2 linked regions of the Struthio camelus genome follow. Each later gene encodes a partner of the first gene's protein in a complex. Links are inferred from orthologs where the notes say so. Each region holds a gene or a part of one and is shown on either strand. Other genes may lie near its edges.

Region 1 (13,219 bases):
ATGAATCCCCTAAATTTAATGCTGTACCTGCTATCAGTGTTCTCAAAAGGATATGCTTCATTGAGCTCTCCGGACACAACATAACAGTTTCCAATACTTGTTGTGTGGAGGAATTGAATGAAGAAAGAAGTTCAGGATTGTCCTCTGTCACTGCCTGTAAGCAGTTTGCTGTAGCAAATAAAAAAAAATTAATTAACAAACCCAATGGTAGCTTTCACTCTCCTAATGAGAAAGCACTATCTTCCTGAAAGCTGGGATAATGAAACACAAACACAGGGAAAACACAGCTTGATACAATATCATATTGTAATGATATGACACTGGCCTTTACAAATTGTGTTTTATGTTAAGACAAAGTCCTCCGGCAGAACCGCATGTAAAACAGGTGAGGACAGTACCATGTCAGGCATGGGATTGCTCATATTAATTTCAGCTTCTCAAATTTCAATTTCTCCACTGGATACTGACTTGGAAAAACAGCAAAAAGTGTTGCAAGTAAAAATGCCAGTAAGACCATTATAAGACGATCGTGGCAATACTAATAATAAAAGTATGTTCAAGGTGAAAGGAGCTGTTTCTTCTTTTTTTTTTTTTAAATTATGTCCTTTGCTCTACAAAAAAAAAAATCTGCATTACAAAAAACAGAAAACCAAACAGAAGAACAGCCTCCCTCAATGCACTTTCTTTCCATAAAACTTTTCCTCCCATGTAACCACCAAATATGCCATTCCCCTTTAAACTGAAAACAAGCACAACAGATGTCAACTTCTGAATGATCTACTGTTCAGATAAGAAATTTAAAATTTTATATGCAGTGTGAACTTTAAGCAACACTAAGCCAGGTGCGTTATTCAATGGATGTGACATCAGTGTTACATTCATATAATAAAGAAAATTTTACATATATATATATATATCTTTAGATCCTTAGCTTCTCTTTTTGTCACTTACCAACTGAAATAGCCAGATCTACATTTGTGGAAAATTTCTTCATATAATGTAATACAGCCTCCAGACACCCTTCTTTATTGAATATGGATACTGCTGTATTGTTGCATTCACTAACACAGAAAAGAGATTAATAAAACACTTTTCCCAGGAAAAATATACTGTAATAAAACTTCAAGTAACATGTACTCAGCATTTCTAGCATTTGTATTTTAAAAATCCACCTAAGAATTACACATTAGTCCCAGAGCTATCTTTCATTATTGAGCTTATAGTGAACTCTTCATAAGAGTGGTGAGAGGCTAGAATACCCTGGACACCTTTGGGCAAAGCTGGCTTCTGCCAGCTACTTCTTCACACTTGCTTCTGGAGTTTAATAGCCTAAACACAGTCTCATGCAAACAGACAAACCAGCACGAGCGTAAAAGGCAATGCAGCTTATAGCCGTAAGCCAGACCTGGGCTTTCGGCAGCAGTCAAACCCTTCATCTACAAAGCCACTGAGAGCAGAGAACAACGAGCAGTTGCCTTTCACATCTAAGTAGTCATAAGAGTCTAAGAACTCTAGAAAACTCGTTTCTACTTGACATACAAAAGTGCACACTTTTGTAGACAAACAATATAAAATGTGCCATTTAATTGGGTAACTAGCTGGATTTGTATTTCTTCATATTTTTACAGCTATTTCCATTTTTATGCCAGAACATTAATATGAGACAAACTCAGAATAAAAAAAAGCATAGGACCTAACTAGCTATGCGGGTCTTCAAAGATTTTTTAAAATGTTATTGCTCAGCATCAATGCCAGCTCAAATTTTATCAGTACCAAACTTAGCAATGATGCCAGTGGTTCACTGTCATTGCCACAGCGTTCAAAATACAGAAGTGATTTATAGCACACTTAAAGATCATGGTCCTGCTCCAAAGCACTTCTGTCTGCAAAAGCAATAAAGAAATGAACACAAAAACGGATAGTTGAGTCACAGTTGCAACAAGGGGTCATATATTCTGTACAAGGTGCCAAGCAAGCAGTTTCTGTACTGTTCTAGATTTCAGTCACGAAAAAAACAGATTTAGAAACAAGGCCTCAAACCAGCAGCCGTTCCATACAGGCAGACATATAGGCAGCTCCCCTGAAGTACTGTACACCGTAAGACAAACTCTATATGGACCAAAGCGTGTAATGACATAGAACTGTAACAATACCGAATCGAAATCAACAGCAAGAAAATAAAGTTCAAGGACTACTTTTAATACACGCTTGCACTGCTTCAATGTTTATAGCTCTATTGGTATTAACAGTGTTGCTATTTCTCTTAGTTCCATAAGTAATTAACATTAGAAACACTGAGCAAACAATTCACATTTTTTGTCACATAATGAAGTGGACTTGTGCTAGTGCCCAAGTCACTAAGGAGTAGTTAGTCCAAACACTTGATATAAACTTAATATAAGAGACCTGCACAGAGATGAAGAAGTGAAGAACTCCTCATATTCCCAGAGCAATGCAGTCCACTGATCAGAAATTAATTTGTTCTATCTCCCATATTACAATAAGGATCTACAGGAACTACATGCAAGACCACAGAACCCCAACTGTACAAGTGTCTTCAAAGAGACGTTGACAGAACACTCTCAGAAAACAACATCAGAATTCAGGATGAGCAATCAATGGAGATAAAATTACCACACTCCTTAAACAAATGACCAACTTGGTGCACTTTTAAAATCCTTCACTTACAAAAGCAATCTACAGGGGAAGATAACAAATATATTTCAGATCAGATGAGGACTCACTATTTATTATACAAAACACGCATAGGAGCAACACGATCAGAAATGAGAATCGGCAACTGAATAATCTTCCCCTGCAAGGAGAGCTACTTCCCTTCTGCCTCAATTACCATGTAAAACTTTTTTAGGGGCAATCTAATTTAGCTCTTCTAAGAGGCCAAGGTTAACACAGAACTTACCACACATTCCACAGCAAGTTAATAGCCTCGTTGGCTATGTCTTCAACATAATTTTTGTTCATTTCTCTGCGTTTCTTTGGAGAGAGCTGATTAGCATCTAGTCCAGCGCTACACTACAACCAAATAAAAAAACTGGGGTTGGGAAACAAACAAGCCAAGAGAAAAAACAAAAGCCTAAAAAACTTTCAAAGCAGAAGAAATTTTGAGATCTCTCATCAAGTGTTTAATAGCAGCAAACCTGACTGTTTTCCTCTTCTCCAGGGCCACAATGGAATCGAATCATCGATTTCTTTCCCTGGTAGAAACAGACTCTCTTACAGTACTTGTTCTGCATTCAACAGTCTCCTGAAGCTTTTTTTTTTTTGTTTTGTTTTGGCTAAACAAATACTTAGCAAGCTTAGAACTGAAACGCTACTTCTTGTTAGTATAGTTTTTCATGCAATTTGCAATAGTTCTAATCACAGAGACTAATTCAGCTATGTATCTTGCTATGCTTCACAACAGTGCTACTACCTGTATTTTATAATGGGGAAGAAGCATACAGACAATGGTGGTACTGCTCAAGGCTGCTCATATGAAGAGCAAGGAGAGAGAACTCAATGCAATTCCTAAACTGCACCTGGACAAAACAAAGAATTCAGTGCAGATTATACAACAGCAGTAACTACCCAACTGTAAATGAAAGCATTGATTTAGACAACACTCTTTACAACAACAAAAAAGTCACCAGAAAAAAAATGATGCAACCTAAATGTTCGATCCGAACACTGCCTGACAGAATAGGCTGGTCTTGAATAAGATTCAAGACTAAGAATCTCCAGACCATTTATGCAAAAATCATCTTAAGCAGCAAACATCATCACTGACCCAACCCAGGAGGCCAGGAGACAGAAACAAATGTTTGCTTGAAACCTCTAGCATCACTTCAGTACTATTTTTCAAGAAGTTGCACAGCAAGAGTTGCAGCAATGTAAGTTCACTAACAAATCCTAACGATATAATGATGATAAGATATATTCTATGAATCCACCTGGCTGGCATTCAAAGTGTATGGCATTTACACTCCTAAAGGTAAAGGAACGCTATTTAATCTACCAAAAGGTTCCTTTAAAGACCTTACCTTGAGAATAGCTACAAAAGTAGAACTATTTTTGAGAAGAGGATAATTCAATAACTAAATCAATTTTTTAAATCTGAGCAAAAACAAACACACCTCTTTCAGAAGTGCGACAAGGGGTGTCATGATGTCTTTTGTCACCATGTCATCACAGACTTCAAATCCTCCACAAGCACTGAGATTTCTGGGAAAGATGAAACACTTTGGATCAGATACAGTACCATCTATGAATGTTTCAAAAAAAAAAAAAAATCATGCATTTATTATTGCTTCTCTTAAGGTTATGATCCATTTTAAAACAAAATGTATCTGCTTAATCAGTAACTTTAGCCTTCCACCTTTCTAACCAAAAATAAGTTTGGTTTCAGAAAACAAAACAGATTTCACTTACCCACTTCTCTGAACTACAACATGACTTCTGTCAGCTAATTACTCAACGAGTATAAGACGCATCACAAATTAGCTCTATTTCTGAAGCAAATGCTAACACATTTTTGTACATGTTGGTCTGAATGCAGAACAGCAACTCAAAACAATGCTATCAAATATTCAGAAATTTTGGGGAAAAACTAGGTATTCGCATCGTCTAATCCATCGTTCCTGTCATGTTATCGAGACAGGAAATACCACAGCAACAGCACTCAAGTGCTCTCTGTTGCTTCATACAACAGGGTTTTCCTAACATAAGCACAGGTTACAACGCGTTCCACCGCAAGGAGGTAAAACGGTGGTAGCTACCTCAAACCCTGTTCCTGCTCCGAAAGCCTGGTGGCACCCTGCTGGAACGAGACAGACCTCTCTTTTGTGGATCTCAATATGGCGAGTCATGCGCACTTAATCACAACAGAGATAAAACAAGAGACTGACATTCCAGTTCATGAACTCTAACAGCAGAAACCCACTCTTATTTACCATGCCCAGAGCACCTCCTTCTAACTCTGAATATTGTAACTGCTTACCGGAGAGCCCCTGCTGCTGTCTCACGCACAGCTAAACTGTGATCTAGCAACATAGGCCCCAAACACCGGACAACATCTCTCTGCAAAAACGCTGGGATTACATGCTTCTGCTGCAACAGTTTGGAAATACTGGCACAGGCGTACTCTCTCACTTCAGCACTTGGATGCTGTAGCTGCAGAGACACAAACAAGGCAGAATTGGGGAGGAGAATGAAGCTGGAAGGTTTTACCGAGTGAAAAAAAAATGATCTGCCTTTTGCTTTGCAGACCACAGCACTGTAGCTCCTATTTTATCACTCCTTAATAGAATCAAGAGCTTTTAATCTCCATGAAGATTTTAATTCTTTACCTGGGTTGTGTGTGTTAACTACATGACTGGATGCATCTTATTCTGGGTGTTGAACAAGAGAGCCATTGTTTAGATACAGACTTGACACTAGCAAGACCTCGTTCCTAGTTTTGATGATCATGCTAAAAAGAACATATACACACAAGTGGGGAAAAATACCATCAAACAGGTGTAACGGACATAAGAAACGGTACTGATAAAGAAAGACTGAAGAATTAAAAAAAAAAAAAAGGCAAAGACATAATAGTCCTCACTATAAAAACACCTGTATAGAGAAGAACACCTGCAACAGAAATTTAGGTTTGATATTAGAATTGCTAACCAGAAAAATAATAAGACAGCAGAACTGACTACACAGGTGGTTATGGAATTTCCCTTATAGAAGAGGGGTAACAGAGAAGGTGAATATCTGCCGAAGAGAGTGGGAAGGAGTGGTAAACCAGCTCCTGCCCCACTGGAAACACGGAGAGAAGCCTCAGTACCTCCCCACTCCTGCACACTTCTGTTTCTACACTTACTTTTTGACTTTAAAAAGTTAGTCTGGAAGAATAATGAAGCAGTGACTTGCTCAATCAGTTCAGTTAAGTGAACAAAGAATTAAGAAATAATTAAAAGGAAGGAATACTTAAAGGAAAACAGAGATTTTTACTTGATACCAACGTAACACGTGCACATGAGGGCTTAAAGTGTAATTTTCATCAGCAATGCTTAATCCCAAAACAGAGGAGCACGGTGAGCAAGTGGCTACGTCCAGTCTTTTTCAACACGGCATTTTCTATCAGTAATTTCCTCCGTGGGGGGTCCGGGCTCGTTGTCCCCTCTGCCTGTCCGCCGGAAAACCGCGGCAGCCTGCAGCGGCAGCCGCTGCCGCCGGCACCACCAGCACCACCAGCAGCAGCAGCAGCACCCCGCCCCGCCGCCGCCAGGCCGCGGCCGGCCGACTCACCTTCTCCAGCAGCTCCGCAGCCGGCTCGTCCGCGGCGCCGTCCTGGGGGCCGCGCCGCCGCCCGCCGCCCGCGGGGGGCTCGCCGGCGGGCGAGAAGGGCGCTCGGCGGAACCGCCGCGCCCTGCTCTTCCCCATGGCCCCGCGCCCGGGCCGCCGCCGCCGCCGCCGCACACACGTGGCCGCCCGCGCAGGCGCCGCGCCGCCCAGCGCCGCACCGCCCAGCGCCGCGCCGCCGCCTCCCGGCCGCGCCGCCTCCCGGCCCGCAGCTCCCAAGGCTTCTGCCCTGCCCAGATGTCTCCCCACGTCCGGGCAAGGCAACCGCGGAAGGAAAGAGCGTTTCCTGCGCGCCCCCAGAAGACAGGGCCGACCTGTACCACGGAGGGCTGGCTGGACCGCCGTCTCTCTCCCGCCGCGCTACCTCACATTATCACAATCGCTTCCAGGGACCGACCTGCCTTCCCTACGTGCAATGTTACGGGCTTCACTTAGCAACTTCTGAAGTGTCCTGGGCTCGTTTCACATCTGCATTTGCACAGTACGAAAGAAAACGTCTGTTTATAGGACGACTTTATTTTATACACATTTACCTACAAAATATACAGCAGCTAAAAATAATGGAAGGGCAGGAGAAAGAATTACTGGAAATAATAGAAGATCGTTTTTAATGTCTCAACTGACTTTAAAAGGAATAAAAAAAAGGAATATTGGTTAAGCCAATAGGTTCCCTTTAAGGGGCAGTCTTGCTTGTAGTTATGGGTTATTAAACTTGCAGTGGCTTTGCAGTCTTAGTCAATTAAAGGAGCTTGAAACAATTAAAAAGGCACCTTGAACACTTAAACTCTTTAAACTATTTACAGTGCTAACTATTCAAGAAGTTACACTTTACGCATATAACATGCGCATCTTGTTTTTAATACTTGAAATAAATTCTGTTATTTTGTGGCACTCTCCATAATTCACCAAATAATTTGTATCTGAAGTTATTTCCAATACTAGTCTCATATTCTGACTATCACAGACTAAAAATCCACTCAATAGTCTTGGGGAATTAAGGTACAGTACAATCTTACAATCTGGAGGATGCAAGCATATTCAAGACAATTTAAAAATATTAAAATCTGATTAAAACAGCAGTGTCGTGAACCAGATCAAACAATGAGCTATGTATAACCACAGTGAAAGTGTCTGGTGCACTATAGGTACAGTTTGACAAATGAGATCCTCTGTCTATTTGTAAAGTTCTTAGACAACACGACCAGTTTTCTCCAGCACAGGCAGACAGGCAGCCTTTCTGCAAGCCTTTTAGCCAGTTCCAAAAATAGTGACCAGGAAACACGGACAGCTGTAATGAGTAAGTGTGCTAACAAAAAGTCATGGAAATGGTAAGTGATCCTTACAATACTGTTCAGGAGAACAACAACAACAACAACAAAAATCCATACAGCAAAATATTACTCTTTTTCTCTGAACATTGGCATTGATCTGCTATTTACAATAGTTTACAAAGACACATAACACAAATGAGGTTTGATTTTCAAGTTCAACTTTCTAACCAGTTAACATACTTCACCTGCATGCTTTGTTCTAGCTGAAGTAAAAAAGTGACACTAACACTGAAAAAAGAGGTAATCAGAAGTAGCAAGAGCACTGATAATATGGTAACAAAGAATTTGGATAAATATTCAAGAAAGTAATATTGCACACTTTCACTGTCAACTGTATAAGACTTTTGCTCCTAGGCAATGACAACCAGTCCTGTTTGGTTTTTGCTGTCATACTACCTGGAAAAAAAGGTCATTTTTGGTTTCCATGGCAGTGGAAAAAACTGAAGGAAGATGACCCTTATTGAACATGAGGCCTAGGTTTCAGAATTAGTTTTCCAGTCTGCAAAACAGAAAAGGAAAATAAAGTTTAGACCCTGAAAATTTTGTCTAACAATAATACTTTGAGTTCAATACTACAGGCTAAGCTTAAAATGACACACGGAACAATACTGAGTATTCTACATTCCACTTACACAGACACATTTTTTGTTAAAGTCTGTGTATGTGTGCGTGTATATACACACATAGGCGTTTACACACTGTACAGAGAAAAAGACTTGTGCATTTTTTTATTTATTTACATCTTTTTTAAAAAACGTTTAGGCAATGAGCTGCGAACACTTACATCATCACAGGACATGTTATATTCTGCCAAAACAGTTCGACATCGGGCTGCTATACTGCATGGCTTGCATCAAGGAAAATAGCTAACACTTCTACACACTCTAAGTCAAAACAGAAAAAGCAACTTTGACAGAGGCTTCAATAACAGCAGTCACTACCACATTTAACCTGACAAAGACGATCGAAGGATACATTGATGGTGCCACCACTCTTTTATGTATTCCAGCAAAGAACAAGCCTATTAGGGTAATACAGCTAATTGTGAAAAACGGATGGTTCCAAAGTGATGTGAAAAATGACACCTAGGAAAGAAGTCAGATTAGTTCCAGGATAGACTTTCTAAAATATACAGAAAGTTGGTGTCTAGTCACTTGATTCAAAGCATATTGCTCTTAAACATGTCTGTGTACTTGTGAACAATTCTTTAGAGAAGCGGTCTATTAGTAGCATTTTTCCAGGCATTGTCCCAATATGTACTCCATAACAGTTCCAGAGAGCTTGAGAACTTAACTGAAAACATTCTCCCACTTTCACAGAATGCTTTAATTAAAACAGACAACGGAACGAAATATTTTTTAAGAACCAGATCAGATTATACATCTACTACCGAAACCTAATGGTCTTCTACCTAAAGTTTATCCATTTGACAATGACTGCTTTGGGCGACTTTGCAGATAAAATTGAGGCTCCTAGACAAAAACAAAAAACGACATCGCACAGTGGTCTATGACATTGGTTTGCCTGTGTTATTCTCAATTTAGTTTTTATTATTCACAATCACGTCACGTGAGCTTTATAAGCTATCTAAGGGTTGGTCTCCAGTGCTGTTGTCCTAGAAATACTGCCCCAGAAATCAGAACAAATGCTGCTGCCTCATGGTTTTGACTACACTTTAGATAGCACCTACGTGGCTCTATCCTTGCCATGTTAAGTGCCCAGGTACAAAACCCATCTTTAGCCTTGCGATCTTCAAGATACTGTAACATCTGACTATAGCACTGGACTTACTGTACAGATTACTACAATTCTACTGCAACACCAAGTTCGGAAACAGATTACATTCAGGATCAGCATGATCTTTACCTTTTGCGTCTCAGGGTCTATTAACCAGTTCCAAGCACCAGTTGCCGTGCAGACGGATACCACTATCAGAATCACTGATAAAGAAAAGAACGAGAGTCATAAGCAGCATAACTCCCTCATAGCAAAAGGCATTTATCCTTCATTAGAAACTTTAAGCGTTTATTTCTTCTCCCACTTCTGAAGGGGGAACAACCTCTGCTTGGAAGGTAGAGATGAAAACAGGCAAAGAAAATTTCTGTTCTAAACAGCAAAGATTCTGTATAAGTTTCCAGGACAGGACAAACAGGTACCAAAAACTAAGTTCTGCCAAGTGAAAACATCCCAATGCTTCAAAGAAATGAAAGTTTCTAAAATAACAGAGCTAGTAAAAAAATATACAAGCTGGAAGACTGGAATAAGAGTTGCACCAAACGTTCTTCTTCAGTCTGAAATTTGAGCTCGTATATTCTGGGCCACAGAAATGCAAAGCCATTACATTTCAGAGCAGAACTAAAGCTTCTGTCCTGATCGCTGTTCAATATAGGAAAAGCCTGAAGAATTAGCACCAACAGTTTAAGTTGAACATCTACAGTCTTTTATGCTTTCTCCATCAACACACTTATTAACAAAGAAAGCTGACAGAGAACAAAACAACATTTAAACAACAGTTACAAGGTATGTTATCATTAGCACATAAAGACTAACAAAAACTTCTACGCATCCTGAATGGCTAGGAAGAATAATCAGTTCACTATCAATGAAAAATGCTAGAGATAAATAGAGTAACACAAGATACCAGACTGACCTAGAGACTTGAGGTGGGGGACAGTGCAAAGAGGAAGGCAAAAGAAACAAACAAAAAAAAATCAGAAAAATACATAAAGGTACAGAAAGCTTAAATACCTATAAAACCTTACAACTTTCGTTGCAAGTTTGGCGGCTCTTAGTGTTTTTCACAAAGCCTGAAGTTTTGCATAGAGGTAAAATGTTTTACTAGGGCAAATGAAGAAAAAAAAGGAAAAGAACAAATAGGAAAGCCAAAATCCAGATTTCAGCCTTCAAACACATGGAATCTTGATCTCGCTTTTCAAACTCTGGCTAGAATATTAGTTTTAAACAACATATCTGCAAGGACAACTATACAAGCCACTTTTCACATCATGAGACATAAAATAACTCCTTTAATTTTTTGCAAGCTTTTCAAACGGTCAAATTTATGTTTAGCCGGTGGTGGGAATGCTCATTGGGACCCACTACATTGCTTCCAGACAACAACCAGGCAAGTATTAACAACGCTTGTCATGCTGCTTTGCCATTGTTTACTAGCCTGTTTTATTTTAGCTCTAAGTTAACACATTAGAAGCTTCCTGCAGTATGTATGTGCCTGTGCACATGCCAAAGAAACTGTAAAAAGATTTTAAGCACGAATTTTTGTTAGGGTAAACATAAACGAAAGGCATACATGAAAAATGAAAAACACTTATCAAAGAGACAATCTTATTCATCCCTTAGAACATTAAACTTACTTCTCCAACGTCCTGTAGCTGGTTGTAAACATGCAATATATTCAGTAAGTCTTCTTTCAAAGGCTTTGAGATCTGAGGAGAACGTATATCAGGCACGATTAGATCTTCATGTGTTTAGCCCAGCTTTAGTGTAAAAGTTGCAAGGAATTCACTTGCTCCATTATGCACACCCATCTCAAACAGAAAGAAAGTGAGAAAACCAACTCTCTGATCATTCAAATGACATAAAGGTAAAGTCAGAGCAGCTTTGCACAAATCCAGCTAGAGAGTGTAATGATGAAGTTGCACTAAATGCAAGAAACAGTCCTACTTATGAAAGAAAAAATATATATAATGACAGAATCCAAAGACGTCATACATCACTTGTTCTTTAATAATACCTAGACGTAGATTTAGAATAGCTTAAATAGCCCCTCCGCAACGGGAAACATGTCATACTTCTGAGTATTAAGTATATCAGGAAGCTATTAAAGTTCTATTAACTACACACTGGTGAAAAAGAGTTTCATTGTTTGCAAGCTGTTCAAGGGATTATTTGCAGCAGCGTGGCCTTGATGACTTTGCTATTTACCACAAACCTGGTATGCCACCTGCCATTAGAAATAAATTAAAAAAAGAAAACCACACACAGCAGACACCAGGCCAAAGATCTTCCACTTTTGTTTTTTCTCCTTCAAACAAATCTCTGCATAGGGCTTTTTTTTTTCCTCTTATTGGTATCATTTTTTAAGACCTTCCTATTTAAATTGCTGCTAATTCCAAGCAGCATTTCAAGTTCATCGTCCTAATTCATTTACAACATTAGCCAACCACGTTTGTCTACAAGGAGCTGTTTTATCTGCGTTAGATCTAAGCATCTGCTTAATGAGGTCAATATTTGACAATATGCTGGTGAAAGCTAAAATTCTACCTGGATTAAAGCTTTTATTGGCATAAAAATACAGGCCTTCAAATCAAGTGCTTCAGTTAGCGCAACTGTTGGAAATGTTTTCTTTCAGCTCCTAACTATTGCCAAATTATTTAAACTACCTTCACAAATCAATTAGAGGAGATTAGAAGACATATATCTATTACAACGGTCACTGAGCCAGTTTTCCACATTTTAACTTTATTCCTAACGGGTTTGCAGGTGAATTCAGAGGGGAAAACCGCAGCACCTTGACCTTACCCACACCGCAGCTAACTACCTTTCACTGCTGCCAGCAGCCCGGCAGTCAGGGCCAGGAGCCGGGGCTGTCGGCTCCCTCCGCTCCTGCGCCCGCCGCGCCGAGGCGTTTAAGCCTCTGCCGGGGTTTTTTGGACACTGAAGCACCGCTCAGGCCCTCGGCACCCTGCCCCGCAGCCGAGCCCGCGGCCCTGCGCTGCGCGCCGCGGGGCCCCGTCCCGGCACGAAGGGCGGAGCAGGGCAGCGCCGCGGGTGCCGGGGCCTCACGGGCCGCCTCGCCCCGCGGAGCGCGCTGGGGCAGCCCGGCACCCTCCGCCCGCGGCCGCCCCACTCACCCTCGGCCTGCTCCAGCGAGTTCATGGCGGCCGCAGGGGGCGGGCGGGCACCCAGCACCGCCCGCCCGCCGCTGGCCCCGCCCCGCCTCCCTCAACAACGCCGCGCCCCACTGGCCAACCCGCCCCCTCAACACGCCCCTCCCCAGCAAGCGCAGCTCTCACTGGCTGCCGCGGGCAAGGGGGCGGGGGCGGCCGGCCCGCCATTAGAAGGCGGCCGCGGCGGGAGGCGCAGATGCTGGAGCGGGTCTGTGGCGGGCGGGCCGGCGCGGCGCTCCGCCTCGGTCCGCGGTGGTGCGGAGAGCGGGACGAGTGGCTGTGCCTGGGGCCCGGGCTCCTCGGGCGGCGGCGGCGGAGCCCTGCGGCGCGGGGGGAGGAGGTCCCGGTGCAGGCCTGGCCCCCTCCGGTCCGCTCCTGCCGCCGGCCTGGGCCCGTCGCGGGGCCTGACGAGTTGGTTGTAAGCCCTCCGCTTTCAGCGTTAAAGGTAACAGTGTGGGAGCAGGGCTGCCGAGAAAGCCGGGCCAAACCGTTGGGCGTCGGACGGGGGCCTTGAGGCGTGTTTGCTCTACGTTGCCGAGGAGTACTGGCTCCTGCAGACGCTAGCCGCAAGTGAAAGCTGCGTTGGTGCCTCTTGGTGCTGTTACTTAAGAATGGGCTGCCGAAACTGGCTACTTT
Region 2 (11,666 bases), on another chromosome or scaffold:
AAAAAATCACAGTTATAAGAAAAAATTGAAGAAGGCAAATTAACCTGCATGTAAAAGGCAGTCTCCTGTATGTATTCATTTGTCATGCTTTACCTCAAAATTTTTGACAATGGTGACTGCCATCTAGTGCTCCATGTAGATAACGTCTTTGCCTATATTGAGGGCCTAAGAACTGTTTGTGAGAGTAATGAGCAGCTGCAGTACAACTTACACCTAGGTGCTTACGGTATGCGACTCACAGACCACACAGACTGAATAGGTGCCCAGGAGAAAGGAAAAGGATTTCAGTAAAGTGGATGTGATATGCCCCGGCCTTCAGTGATGCTGCTGAACGTGAATCAGCGCGCGCGAAGCGCTCCTATTGCGTTGGCGGCAGATGAAAGGGAGCAAGGCACGCAGATGGTGAGAGAGGTTAGTGTTAGACACGAAAAATTACAGCTCCGCTAGGAGGGAGATGGGACAGTAACAGTGTAAAAAAAGTACTACGCATATTAACATTCTCCTCCGGTGTAGCATCAGCGAAGGTGAGCAGGGCAAAGCTAGTTCACCTGCCCCGTTAGGGAAGCCGTGCCCAAAGCCACAGCGCCGTGAAGCACCGAGAGCCGCTCACCGCAGTCTGAGATCAAAACGCTCTGCTTTCGTATCTAAAACGGCGCGAATGCTTGGCACAAGGCTGCAGGGCGACGGCTGCGAGGAGCGCGCAGCCGGCCAGGCCTCGGCCCCGCACCGCCACCGCTCGCTCGTGCCGCTCCCAAGCGGCCAGGCCGGTTCTGCTGTGCAAAAACCAGCCCTCGCCGACAGACCGCTTTCTCCTATCCAGGTTATCCTTGCAGTTAAAGAAAGGGGTGGGGGTGGGGGGTAAAAGAATATCACACAGCACACGAAGACACCTTTAAAGCTTGTGCGTTATGACCGGAGGCCGAGGCAAGGCTAGTGTCCCCCCCAAAAACTCCTCGGCCTCACACGCCGCGGCCATTTCACCACAGAGCCGCCAACGGCCGCAGCCAACGGCCGCCCCCCCCCACCCCCGAGCCCGCGCGCCGCCCCTCACTCACGCGGCGCGCTGCAACTGCCGCAGCAGGCGCGCGGCCCGCTCCCGCCCCGCCGCCGCCGCCATCGCCACCGCCGGGGGCTGCCGGGAGGCGGCGGCGGCGGGGCCGCCCGCTGCCCTCCCCCGCCGGCCGTCCCGCCGGGGAGCGGGCAGTACCCACCGGTTTAAAGGTCTTCTGCGAAGATAAGCAGAGGCGACGGCCGATGTAGACGCGGCCGCCAAAGTTCAAACGGATTTCAGCAGGGACTGCGCAGCTTACCGAAAGCAAGGGCTTGTGCAGGACGGGTAGGTAGCTGGCCTCCCAGGAGGAGATGGTACGGAAAAGTTGCTTATAAAGTACTGCTGGAGAAAACGCGTGGTTGAAATGACAGCTGTAAGGCTAATTCAGGCTCCCAAAATGAACGCTGCAAGGTCAGCCTGATATATCCGGCAAAATCCAACTGATACCTGTTTGAAGGAGGGCAACAGCGCGCTAGATGCCCTATGAAATTACATGGAAGACATGGAGCAAATAAAAGCATATTCAAACTAGCTGTTCAGCACACTCCTCCTTGCTCAACTCGCAACACCGATGAGGTGAAGTTTATGACTATACAATTTGTGTATAATCAGTTTGTGCTTCACCTCTTCAAGTTTTGAAACGTGAAATTATTTATAAATTTCAGAAACCGGGAGCACCCATGAAGCAGTTTACATTGGTCTTTACTGATTTTATAATCACTACTGAAAATCCACAAACTATCAGCATTTCTGTAGACAAGTCTTTGGCTTCAGAAAATTCACCAGTAAAATGTGGGTCAGCAGTATAAAATACTTCTCTAAAAAGAAAATGCTTTCTAGCTGAGCAGGTAACAAGACATATCCTATGGAAACGCAGGAAAACTGGAAGTCTAGAACCTATTTCAGAACAACTGTTTCCACATTTCCAAGGACTTCTCGCCTCTGTTGCCTTGCTAGCTGTGCTGAACAGCTGGTTTCAGTGGGATGACATCCATACAAACACCGCTGCCAGCGGCCAGTCAGAAGCAGACAACAGTGGTAAAAACTACTTGACACAGCAGTACGAAATTTTTAAAAGGCTAAGAATAGATATTTTATGTAAAGCTGACAGAAATTCACCATTATACTCAGTGCATTAATGCCACTGAAATCCTTCAGTACCAATGCCTACTCCTTCCAGCCTGACCACTATTCTACAGATGGACCTTTGGCTTTTTAATCACACTCAATTGCCATCTCAGCAAGCTCTTACTGTGAGATGAAAGATTAATTGCTTTAGAGTTATTCAGCCCTTCCAGGAACACATTTGCAATAGAGTGCTATGATAACAGTCTTAACTACTTGAAAGTTTGAGAACCTACTTTACTATCCTCATAGCAGGAACTGGCTTCAGAGAAGGAGACCATCCTCCTTCTTGTAGCTAAGTCACATAATAGAACAGCAAATTTTATTTTTTTCATTTCAAGGGTACAGGAAACACTATATTTAAAACGGTTATAAACAAGTCTTAGATCATATCTAATATCTGTTTGCAAACACTTTGGTAAAGAAAAAACACTATGAAGCTATTTTTATAAAAATGATGACTTACTCTCAGGAGATAGTACAGGTAGAAATTTGGGAGTTTTTCCCTGTTGTGTGATGTGAACATTTATCTGCTGAATTCAAGGCAGGTCAACAGCTTTTTTTTTTTTTTTTTTTTTTAAATCAGCAGAGGTTTATAAAATCTTTGTAACCTCTCAGGCCCTGCAATAAGTCTTACAGGAATAGCTTTCATGCCCCTCCTCTCACAACCGAGCCTGAATACCACTGAGTTGACAATGACTTGCAAAGCAGGAGCTCCACAGTCAGGCTACCTACCCGCAGCACAAAGCAAAAGGCAGTACCTCATCCTTTAACTGCGCAAAGCAAAAGGCAGTACCTCATCCTTTAACTGCGTTTCTCTTTGATCACACCAGCACTTAACATACCAGTTACCGCCCTTGAGTTGAGTTCCATGCCCCAATCTTAGGTGTTTCTCACTTAAGAGCAACTTGACTGCACAGGGACTGAGGTCTGTCTCAAAATGCTGCAGCCAGGGCCAGCTGTGGAGCTATCTGGCTGCCCCCATTAAAGCCCCTAACCTGGGGGTAACTGGGGAACTTGACTCTGGTGATATACCACCAACTCCTCTTAGAAGAGGGACGCTGCCCTCCTTGACTGCTATCCAAGAGCCAAATGCTGATTTTAGAAAGACCAGAGCATATTTATTGACAAATAGGTGTGAGAGCCGAGCACTGGGCAGGAGGCTGTCAGCAGCAGTCCCTTCCTGCCCCTTGGTGAGCAGCCCCGGCCCTGAGTCGTGCTCAGCCCTGCAGGCCACTCTGTCCCTCTGGGTGCCAGTCCACCTCATGCTTTCTTCCTCTTGCCACCACCACTGCCCACAGGGCGCTGCTGCCGCTTGCCGCCACTCTTCTTGCTGCCGCTCTTCTTGCCACCGTGGCCGGGCCGCTGCTGCTGCCGGCGACCGCGCTTCCCCCGCTGCGCCCGCTTCTTGCCCTTGGCGGCAGCCGCCTCGGCATCCTCCTCGCGGAGCTGCTTGTTGACGGCACGAGTGATGTCGAGGGGCGGCTTCTTGCTGCTCATGCCACGCAGCAGCTCCAGCTGCTGGCTCCGCTCGGCCGCCAGGTCACCCAGCAGCGGCGCGAAACGGCGCTTCTTGGCGCCACGGGGAGGCGGCTCCGCTGGCTCCTTGGGCAGCCGCGGCTGAAAGCGGCCGAGCGAGGCGGTGGAGAGGCGGGCGACGCGGGCAGCGTGGCCCAGCTCAGCGCGGCTCTGGTGGCCCGTGGGGTGGAGCGGGGCAGCGGGCACGGCGGCGCGGTGGGCGCGCGCCAGGTTGCGCAGGCGGTTGAGCTCATTGCGCGCCACGCGCTCCCGCTTCTCCCGCCGCCGCTTGGCCAACTGGTCCTCGTCCGGGTCGGCGCCCGCCGGCACCTCCGCCGCCCAGTCGCGGGCCGGGTCGCCGCCCGCCCGCCGGTAGCCCCAGCGCCGCCGCCACTCCTTGGCCTGCTCGTCCCACACCAGCGAGGTGCGCTTCCGCCGGCGGATGCCCTTCAGCCGCGCGAACTGCTCCCAGCGCGTGGGCGGCCGCGGCCGCGGCGGCGGCTTCTCGCGCGGCAGGCGGAAGGCCGGCTCCGGCAGCTGCGCCACCAGCGGCCCCGCCGCGCCGCCGGCGCGCTCGGCCGGCAGCGCCCACAGCTGCGCCACCAGCAGCTGCGTGTTGTCGCGGGCCAGGGCCCGCAGCAGCGCCTCCCGCCGCGGGCCGGCCCCGCGCAGCCCCGCCGCCGCCGGCGGGTTGCGGTCCAGCGCCAGCAGGTTGCCCAGGTCGAACTCCAGCTCCAGCTCCTTGTGCACCGCGATGCTCCGCTGCTTCTCCGCCTCCTGCTCCTCCGCCGCGGCCAGCAGCTCCTCCACGCGCACGGCCGCCATGGCGGCGGAGCGGAGCGGGCCGGGCCGCGCCGACACGTGCGGACAGCTCGCGCCGCCCGGCTCCGGAAGTGACCCAGCTCCGTTCCGGGTCAGCGCGCCGGAAGCACGTCAGAAGGGAGCGCGGAACCACAAAGGGAGGGGCGGGGCGGGGCGGGGCGGGCCGCGCGCATTGTCTTCTGGGAGCTGTAGTGCGCGCTGGCCCGGCGCTCAGCCCGCGGCGGCGCGCGGCATTCTGGGAGGGGCAGGAGGCAGCGCTGCATTCTGGGAGCCGTAGTCTCCGCGCAGGCCGTGGGGCTGCGTCGGGGCGGCCCGTTGCTCCTGTCAGAAAGTCTCCAGCTCTTCTCCCACTTATTTAATGATCAACATGACTTGTGGTCCAGCCCTCCCCGCAAAAAATCCCCAGTGAAGTTGCCAGGCGCGGGTTGCCCTTGGCTAGCTGGGGGTAGACGCTGCCTGGGCCGGTTCGGCCCAGCTGGCGAGCGGGGCTGGGGCAGGAGGGGCGTGAAGAGAGCTGGCGTGTACAGGAAGGCCAACGCCGAAAGCGCGTTCGCTGCCTGCAGCAGGGAGACGAGGCCAAAGCAGGGCACGCAGAGCACCCAGAACGCAAACTGGGCCTCGCCGCCTTCTGCTGCTGCGTAAGGGGTTGCGCGGTAGCACTCAAATATCCGGCAGGTTAAGGCTGAGACATGGGGAAATATCCTTTCTGTTTTTATTGCAGCGTAACGTTTAGGTGTCAAAGTCACTGCTAAAGCTTAGGCCAGGCAATGAGTGGCCTGATCCCAACCCCAGCGCCGAGGCTGCTTCCCTCGCGACCGCCGCCGGCCGCCCTGTGACACCAAGGGGAGAGGAGGTGCGCGGGGAGAGCCGCAGCACCCCTCAGACGGCTCGTCAGGCACGATGAGTGAGGTCGTCGGGTGATACCGCATGCACCAAAAAAGTCAGCCAGGTCAAAGATACTGCCGTGCTATTTTTAAACAAATGAGATACGGCAGAATCCTTTTACAGCAATAGAGCATGCAGTGATTTGGCTCGTATGGTCATGACGTTTTGAGCTGATCTTTGGTGCCCTAAAAACAAGCTCATGACAGGACTTCGCTGCAGCCAACAAAAAGTCACGGGAATTATTATACTGGATAGAATTTGCTACTGAGTTAAACACGTCCCCTCCCTTAACTTGTGTCTGGGGTGATGGAAATGATTCTGAGTATAATGTCACAGCTGTATTTTTAGAATGAAAATAAAATGTTGCTCCTGTAAACTGATTCCTGGAATCTGTTGCCTAGCATATCACATCTTATACTGTATAATTATAATTATGATAGAATCTTTTTTTTTTGTTTTTTTTTTCAACCCAACAGGTCTGAGTGTGATTCAAGCACTACAGAGCAGCAAATTCCCTATGCATTTAAAACCTAATTAGATGCCATAGACAGTTTTCCCGTTTACCACAAGATGGCATTGCATTGCATACTACTTTCTTCACTTTCCTGGACAGCTCATACTTTCACCTGAAATTATAGATTAAATTAAAGACAGTTTTCAGAGATGTACATATACTATTTTTGACACAAATAAGTTCAGGCATATATTTATACTTTTATACTGCATAAGCAAGGGGCACTGTTGGGGCAGTCGGTTGATACCTTGGTCGCTGTACTGTCCTATCTTATCCTTAGATAGCTAGCTCTTTGGGCTCTTTTGGTTTATATTTGTACAAAGCCCAACAGTCTTCAGGTAAATGACTCGGATTGAAGGGACATAATTGATAAAATTTATTACACTTACAAAATTGGCTTGATATTTAATGATTACTTTGTATCGACAGAATAACAGAAGGAATGCATGCCAGGAATTGGTCTTCATGTTTCACACGATAGCATGGAGCTTCTAAGTTAAAAATTAAAATGCAAACAAGCTTCTACCCTCCTCCAGGTTTACTCAGCGCAATATTGCCTGCTGTTCAAATCTGACTACAAAACCATTACTGCTGACAGGATATTATTGAGTTGAGATTTCAGAATGTGCTTGGTAAGATGGCAGTTGGAATATATGAGTGGATTTGTAAACCAAACAGAATTTGTAAATGGAATCATATTTTAGGAAATTATCTGATGGTGAGAAGCAGCTTCTGAGATGGTCGCTTTAATAATCCTAGTCATGCTTAGAATTTATAACTCTCAGTTTGTAGCTGAGAATTACAAGCAGGCACAGAGCTTCCCTGAAGTGAATAGGCATGTGTGTAAGCTTTATTAACAGGCTTTTGCAGCAGATTTTTTAAGGGTGAATTTTTAGAAATGTTTGTTCATTTTGGTCCTCTCCACTTCTAGGTTCCTAGTTTCAGAATCTCAAGTATCACATTTCTCTAAGTGCTTGTGGCTGGATTTGTGAGTGCTCAGCCATGGCGCTTGAAGGGAGTTTTCCCTGATTGGAGGCATTATAGTTCATAGATACTTGCACAGTTTCAGCCTTACCCTCTCTTTCCTTTGGTTTTCTCTCTCTCTTCACCATGAATTATAGTAATCTGTAACTTGTGTGTGTGTGCATGCGCACATGAGTGTGTGCGTATGCTTACTTCCTTAGCGTTTCCTAACTCTCGGAACTGTGAGAAACTCAGGCAGAAATTGGATGCTGTGGCAACGTGCAGGCTTTCTTGGGGGTAGAAAGCTGTAATTGCTTTTATTGCAGTTAGCACCCTCAAGGATGATGCACACTCCTGAGGATGTAGTACAGAAGTATGCATGTGGCTGCACAGCTTTCCTTACCTGAAGTTACGGGGATGTTTCAGATCAATACGTTTTTCTTAGTTCCTCAGTACATGATAGGTCTGATACAAAACCCCAGGATGAACATAGAGGGTACATTGGCATGAAGAGTGCTATTATCCTTTTTAATACAATTTGTTGTGCTTTTGCATTGCAATTCTTTCCGAATCACTATAGCTTCAATTTTAAAGAGACACGGTAGATTTAAGAACCCTGGAAATATCAATTAGAGTTAATAGTTTCAGGTTCCTCTGAAAATCCTATCCTGTTCTCATACATGAAGCCTGATTTTTAAATATGGCTACTGCTTGACATCTGGACACCTAAACAATGTTAGCTAGTCACATCTGAAAGTCTGGGATGTGATCCTTCAGATTATGAGCGCTCTCAGTTTTCAATCAAAAGCCCACCGCTCATGCTAGATTCAAGAGCTGCTTTAATACCAAAGGTTGCATAATGGTTTTTGAAAAGCACGTACTCTGCATGAAAAACCTAAGATATAATTTGTAATGTAATTTGCAGAAATACTTGTCCAAAAGATGAATAGAAAGCATGATGCAGGATATATTTAATGCACAAAATGAACTACAATGTCAAAGTGATGTAACGTTTCTTTTTTTTCTTCTTCTATTAGAAAAATTTTTTTTTTTAGTTTCTGTTAGGCTGGGCTACAACTTTAAGTCTGTATAAAATAGGAATTGTTCTAATATTCCCTATTCATGTCTCACCTTTTGTGATACCATTAGCTTAGATTTACTCTTCAAACTTTTGCCAATTACCTCTGGATGGCAGTAGATATAGTTAGAAGATGATTCAATCCATTCTTAAGCCTGCTGTGAGGATCATTATGAAGAACACTTCTATCAGGAAAACCCAAAGTGCTGGTAATTTTGGAAAATAGTAGAAAGTGCCCTTAAAATACCCACACTGTCTCCAAATCATTCCTTTTCACTGATTTTGTTCAGAACACTTTGAAGTAAAATCTACATTGTAGGATTTCTTCCAGTAAGGAAAAAGCTGTTTGCTCACTGAAGCTAAATTAAGTAAAAATTAGTACTACAGCTTGTGGACAAATTCCCCATACATTTTTATCCCAAAGTGTTACAACATACATCTATGTCCTATACAGGTGTTTTTGCAGTACAAATAATAAAGCTTAGTAGGTAAATAATTTGGCTAATGGAAAACGCTTTCCTATTCACTGTTCCTATTCGCTGTGAACAAACTATCTGCCAGGAGTAAACAAATAAAAAAGGCTTGTGCTACAGTCTTTTAATGACTACAGGCATTGACTTCAGCAGTATATAACAAATATGCCTATTAGTTATGGCTTTTGCTGTTTAAGAAAGAACTATGGCTGCAGGTATTACAGACAGCAGGTAATTCCTTCTCATGGCTTCACTGAAGCAAGCCCTTAACCTAACAACGCATTAAAGGATATACTTATTTTTGAGCATGTGGATTGTTCCATTGATGTTAATGATGTTAACTCTGCTCACATGCTTAAAAACTTTCCTGACTGAGTTGTAGATGAGCAGGGTTAGACAACATTTATTGCAGTATTAGCAGAATTCTGTATTTGAGAAAAAAACCCTGAAGATGAAACTCAGGAGGCTGTAGCTATAGTTCCAAACCCTAGAACTAAGTAACTGGAAATGCAATTACAAGCAAATACTGAGTAGGGTCTGATTTCTGGTTCAGAAGCCAAAACATAGATAGCTGGGGAGACAGCATTCAGATCTGGAAGACTACAGACCTTGTGGAAGGTGATTGGTAGACTGTAATTTATTTTGATCAGTTAACTGGCTATGACTGTGTGGTTTCACTGAACTCATTTTGGGTAAACAAAACGTAAACTAAGCTAATCTGAGGCCTTCCCAAGCGCACGATGCCTATCTGGCTGTGCACTGGGGAATCAGGCTGAAAACAGATGGTGATATGTTTTGCTATTTTATGAGCTTTACGATGACCTTTTTTTTGAGAAAGTTTTCTTGTAGCGTGGCCTTAATACTGAAAATATCAACAATGGTGTGGCTTGGTCTTGTTAGAAGTCTTTTTAGGAGAATGCAAAGAATGGAGTGAAGCCTTTATAAGGCAGTGACGGAAAGAATGGCAATGTAGTAACATACTCTTTTTCCAGGGTCAGTATCGCTTGTCACCTTTCCAGAGCAGAGCTATACCTTGGCATGAGATTACTTACACAAGTTTAAAAAAAAAGCTATTGAACATGTTGCCTTCTTTTACAAAGAAATCTGTCATGCAGAGATTTGCCCTAGATTAAGTCTACACTCACAGCCAGAGGAACGAAAATGGTTCATCTGTTCTTGAGTTGGGTTCCTGGCTGGGAATTTCACCGGTGTTGGAAGTGAGAAGAAGCATGGATAAGTATTCATCTATGACACTGAGGATGTGCCATAGTCCCTGCTGATTTTTGCTGACAGAAGGACACAAGGGAAATCAAATGGAGCTGTGGGTTCAATACATGAATTTGAGATTAGGATAAATTCCTGTATGTTTGCCAACAATGACTGCGTCAGCTCCTATATTCTAATGCTTTTGTGAGTCAGAGGCAATCCGTTTTCCAGAAGCGTCCTTTAGTTTAAAAAAAAAGCTTGGGCCGTATTTCCAATAGAAAATCTCAGCCTTTTATGTACATGTACAAATATCACGTGCATGTTATTAAGCCTCTCTTGCATTCACATGTGTGGAAGAGTTTTGAATGATGATTTTTACCAAAGAAAAAAGGATGAGACCTGATGCCAAAGCAAAACAATGCACTGCGTTTAGGATCACATTTTTCAGGGACTTATACCAGCCTTAGGGAATCTGCAACTTTGGGCTAAGTATAGATCCGAGCATCCTTTCATACAGCCCAGAACCTCTTGAATCTTCTCCCCATCCTCAGCGGGTGGCATGGTGATGGATGCTGAGATGCTGCTTTCCAAAGCTGTATTCAAAGCCTTGGCACTACCTGGCACTCAGCAAGGAAATGGTTCCCCATACCCAGTTTATCTCCTTTTATCCTCCACATTTTCATTCATCGTGAAGGCTGATCAGTCAGGATGGAGTTTTGTGCTCAGTGTGTTTTCAAACTACTACATTCTTAAAGCTACCTTTGACATCAGTGTTATGAAATGCACGTTGAAGGTGGTAGGATCGGCAGTGGGGAGCATACGTGCAGGTCCTGCCAACAAGCAACAAAAGCATTTGTGTGTGCGACTATGCCTCCCACAAGCTACTTTGATAATGTACCCTGTAGGTGTCCAAGTAAAGCTACTAAGTGCTGTGCTTCAAATGTGATGCTTCAATTACATCAGTTGCAGTCACTTCAGGATCTCACTAATACCTTTTCAGTTGACAGTTATCAATTGAAAAAAAAAAATCTGTGTTTAAATCTTTTTGCACACAGTAAAACAGCACTTTAAAGGTTCAATCCAAGATATTAGGCAGGTTTTCATCCACATGTAACCACAAGTGACTCATGTAAGACAAGAATCATCTATAAACTTGTACGTGCTTGTACCTGGGATGTGTGTTGTGGTTCCGAATAAATTAGGACAATTTCTGTTAAACAAATATTTTTCATTTTAAATGTCATAAAACCTAAGGCTGTGACTATACGTCATTACCCAGTGACAACAGATTTGGTTTAAAAAGTTCTTGCACAGAAAAAAAGAAGTCCCAGAGATTAACTGAGTCAATTCACAGGATTTAGACTGTGGCCACCAAGTAGCTGAAGCAGCGTAGCCAAAGGAGGTAGCTTCAGGGTTGGAATGGGAGTGTGAATGAGTGGCGAGGCATTTGAGCTGGAACAGCAAGCTGCTCGACTGGATTTGCTACTGTGGGAATTAGTGACAGCCTGGCTTGCAAAGGGGGCTGGTCCCTTCGAGGAGCAATTGTGGTTCATGTCTACAGCAGTCTCCCAAACCCGTTATTGGTGAATTGTCTTCTGCAGAGATGTCATAACTGTTCATGCAGGAGCAGAGATCACCCATAACTGCTCATGGAGCAGCAGAGCTCTGACAAAGCTTACAGCTTGGTGTATTAAGGTGAACCGGCAGCGTTTTGGGGTTACCTTAATCTTATATACTGTAAACTATAGAAGTTGCTACATGGGCTACTCATACATTCCTGCAAAGGGTTTGGAGCATGTCAGAGAGGTGGGGTGGGCAGCTGGCAGCAGAAACAACTTTGGCCATCCGAAGGTAACCTTCTCGCTGGTGTTGGAACAGAACCTGCAAAGCCAGAGCAGGAAATTCCCTGTCCTGACTTGCAGTTGGGGCTCTTGGCTCCTCTGAGGGGATGAGTGATTCTCTGAACTGTCCAGTGCCTCCTTCATGCCATCATATAACCAGATGAGCCATTCTACACAGTGCATCCTTATT

What was found.
Region 2: HEATR3 (region 1) and RRS1 share a complex: the UniProt entries of both Homo sapiens proteins name them as parts of the hexameric 5S RNP precursor complex. The link is inferred for Struthio camelus from reciprocal best matches to the Homo sapiens genes HEATR3 and RRS1.

Annotation. Positions count from the first base shown.
Region 1 is NC_090951.1:16,813,537-16,826,755, reverse strand, and holds the start of HEATR3 (HEAT repeat-containing protein 3), read right to left. Parts: upstream 6,433-13,219; 5' UTR 6,427-6,432; coding exon 6,292-6,426; intron 6,138-6,291; exon of another isoform or gene 6,002-6,137; intron 5,738-6,001; exon of another isoform or gene 5,346-5,737; intron 5,170-5,345; coding exon 4,997-5,169; intron 4,222-4,996; coding exon 4,134-4,221; intron 3,034-4,133; coding exon 2,921-3,033; intron 1,062-2,920; coding exon 952-1,061; intron 169-951; coding exon 28-168; intron 1-27. Other genes in the region: CNEP1R1 (nuclear envelope phosphatase-regulatory subunit 1), read right to left, coding at 8,134-8,175, 8,461-8,515, 8,652-8,761, 9,543-9,616, 11,048-11,119, 12,548-12,572. UniProt on the Homo sapiens protein: Plays a role in ribosome biogenesis and in nuclear import of the 60S ribosomal protein L5/large ribosomal subunit protein uL18 (RPL5). Required for proper erythrocyte maturation.
Region 2 is NC_090943.1:132,523,863-132,535,528, forward strand, and holds RRS1 (ribosome biogenesis regulatory protein homolog), read right to left. Parts: upstream 4,603-11,666; 5' UTR 4,520-4,602; coding exon 3,440-4,519; 3' UTR 3,273-3,439; downstream 1-3,272. Other genes in the region: ADHFE1 (hydroxyacid-oxoacid transhydrogenase, mitochondrial), read right to left, coding at 1,056-1,117. UniProt on the Homo sapiens protein: Involved in ribosomal large subunit assembly. May regulate the localization of the 5S RNP/5S ribonucleoprotein particle to the nucleolus.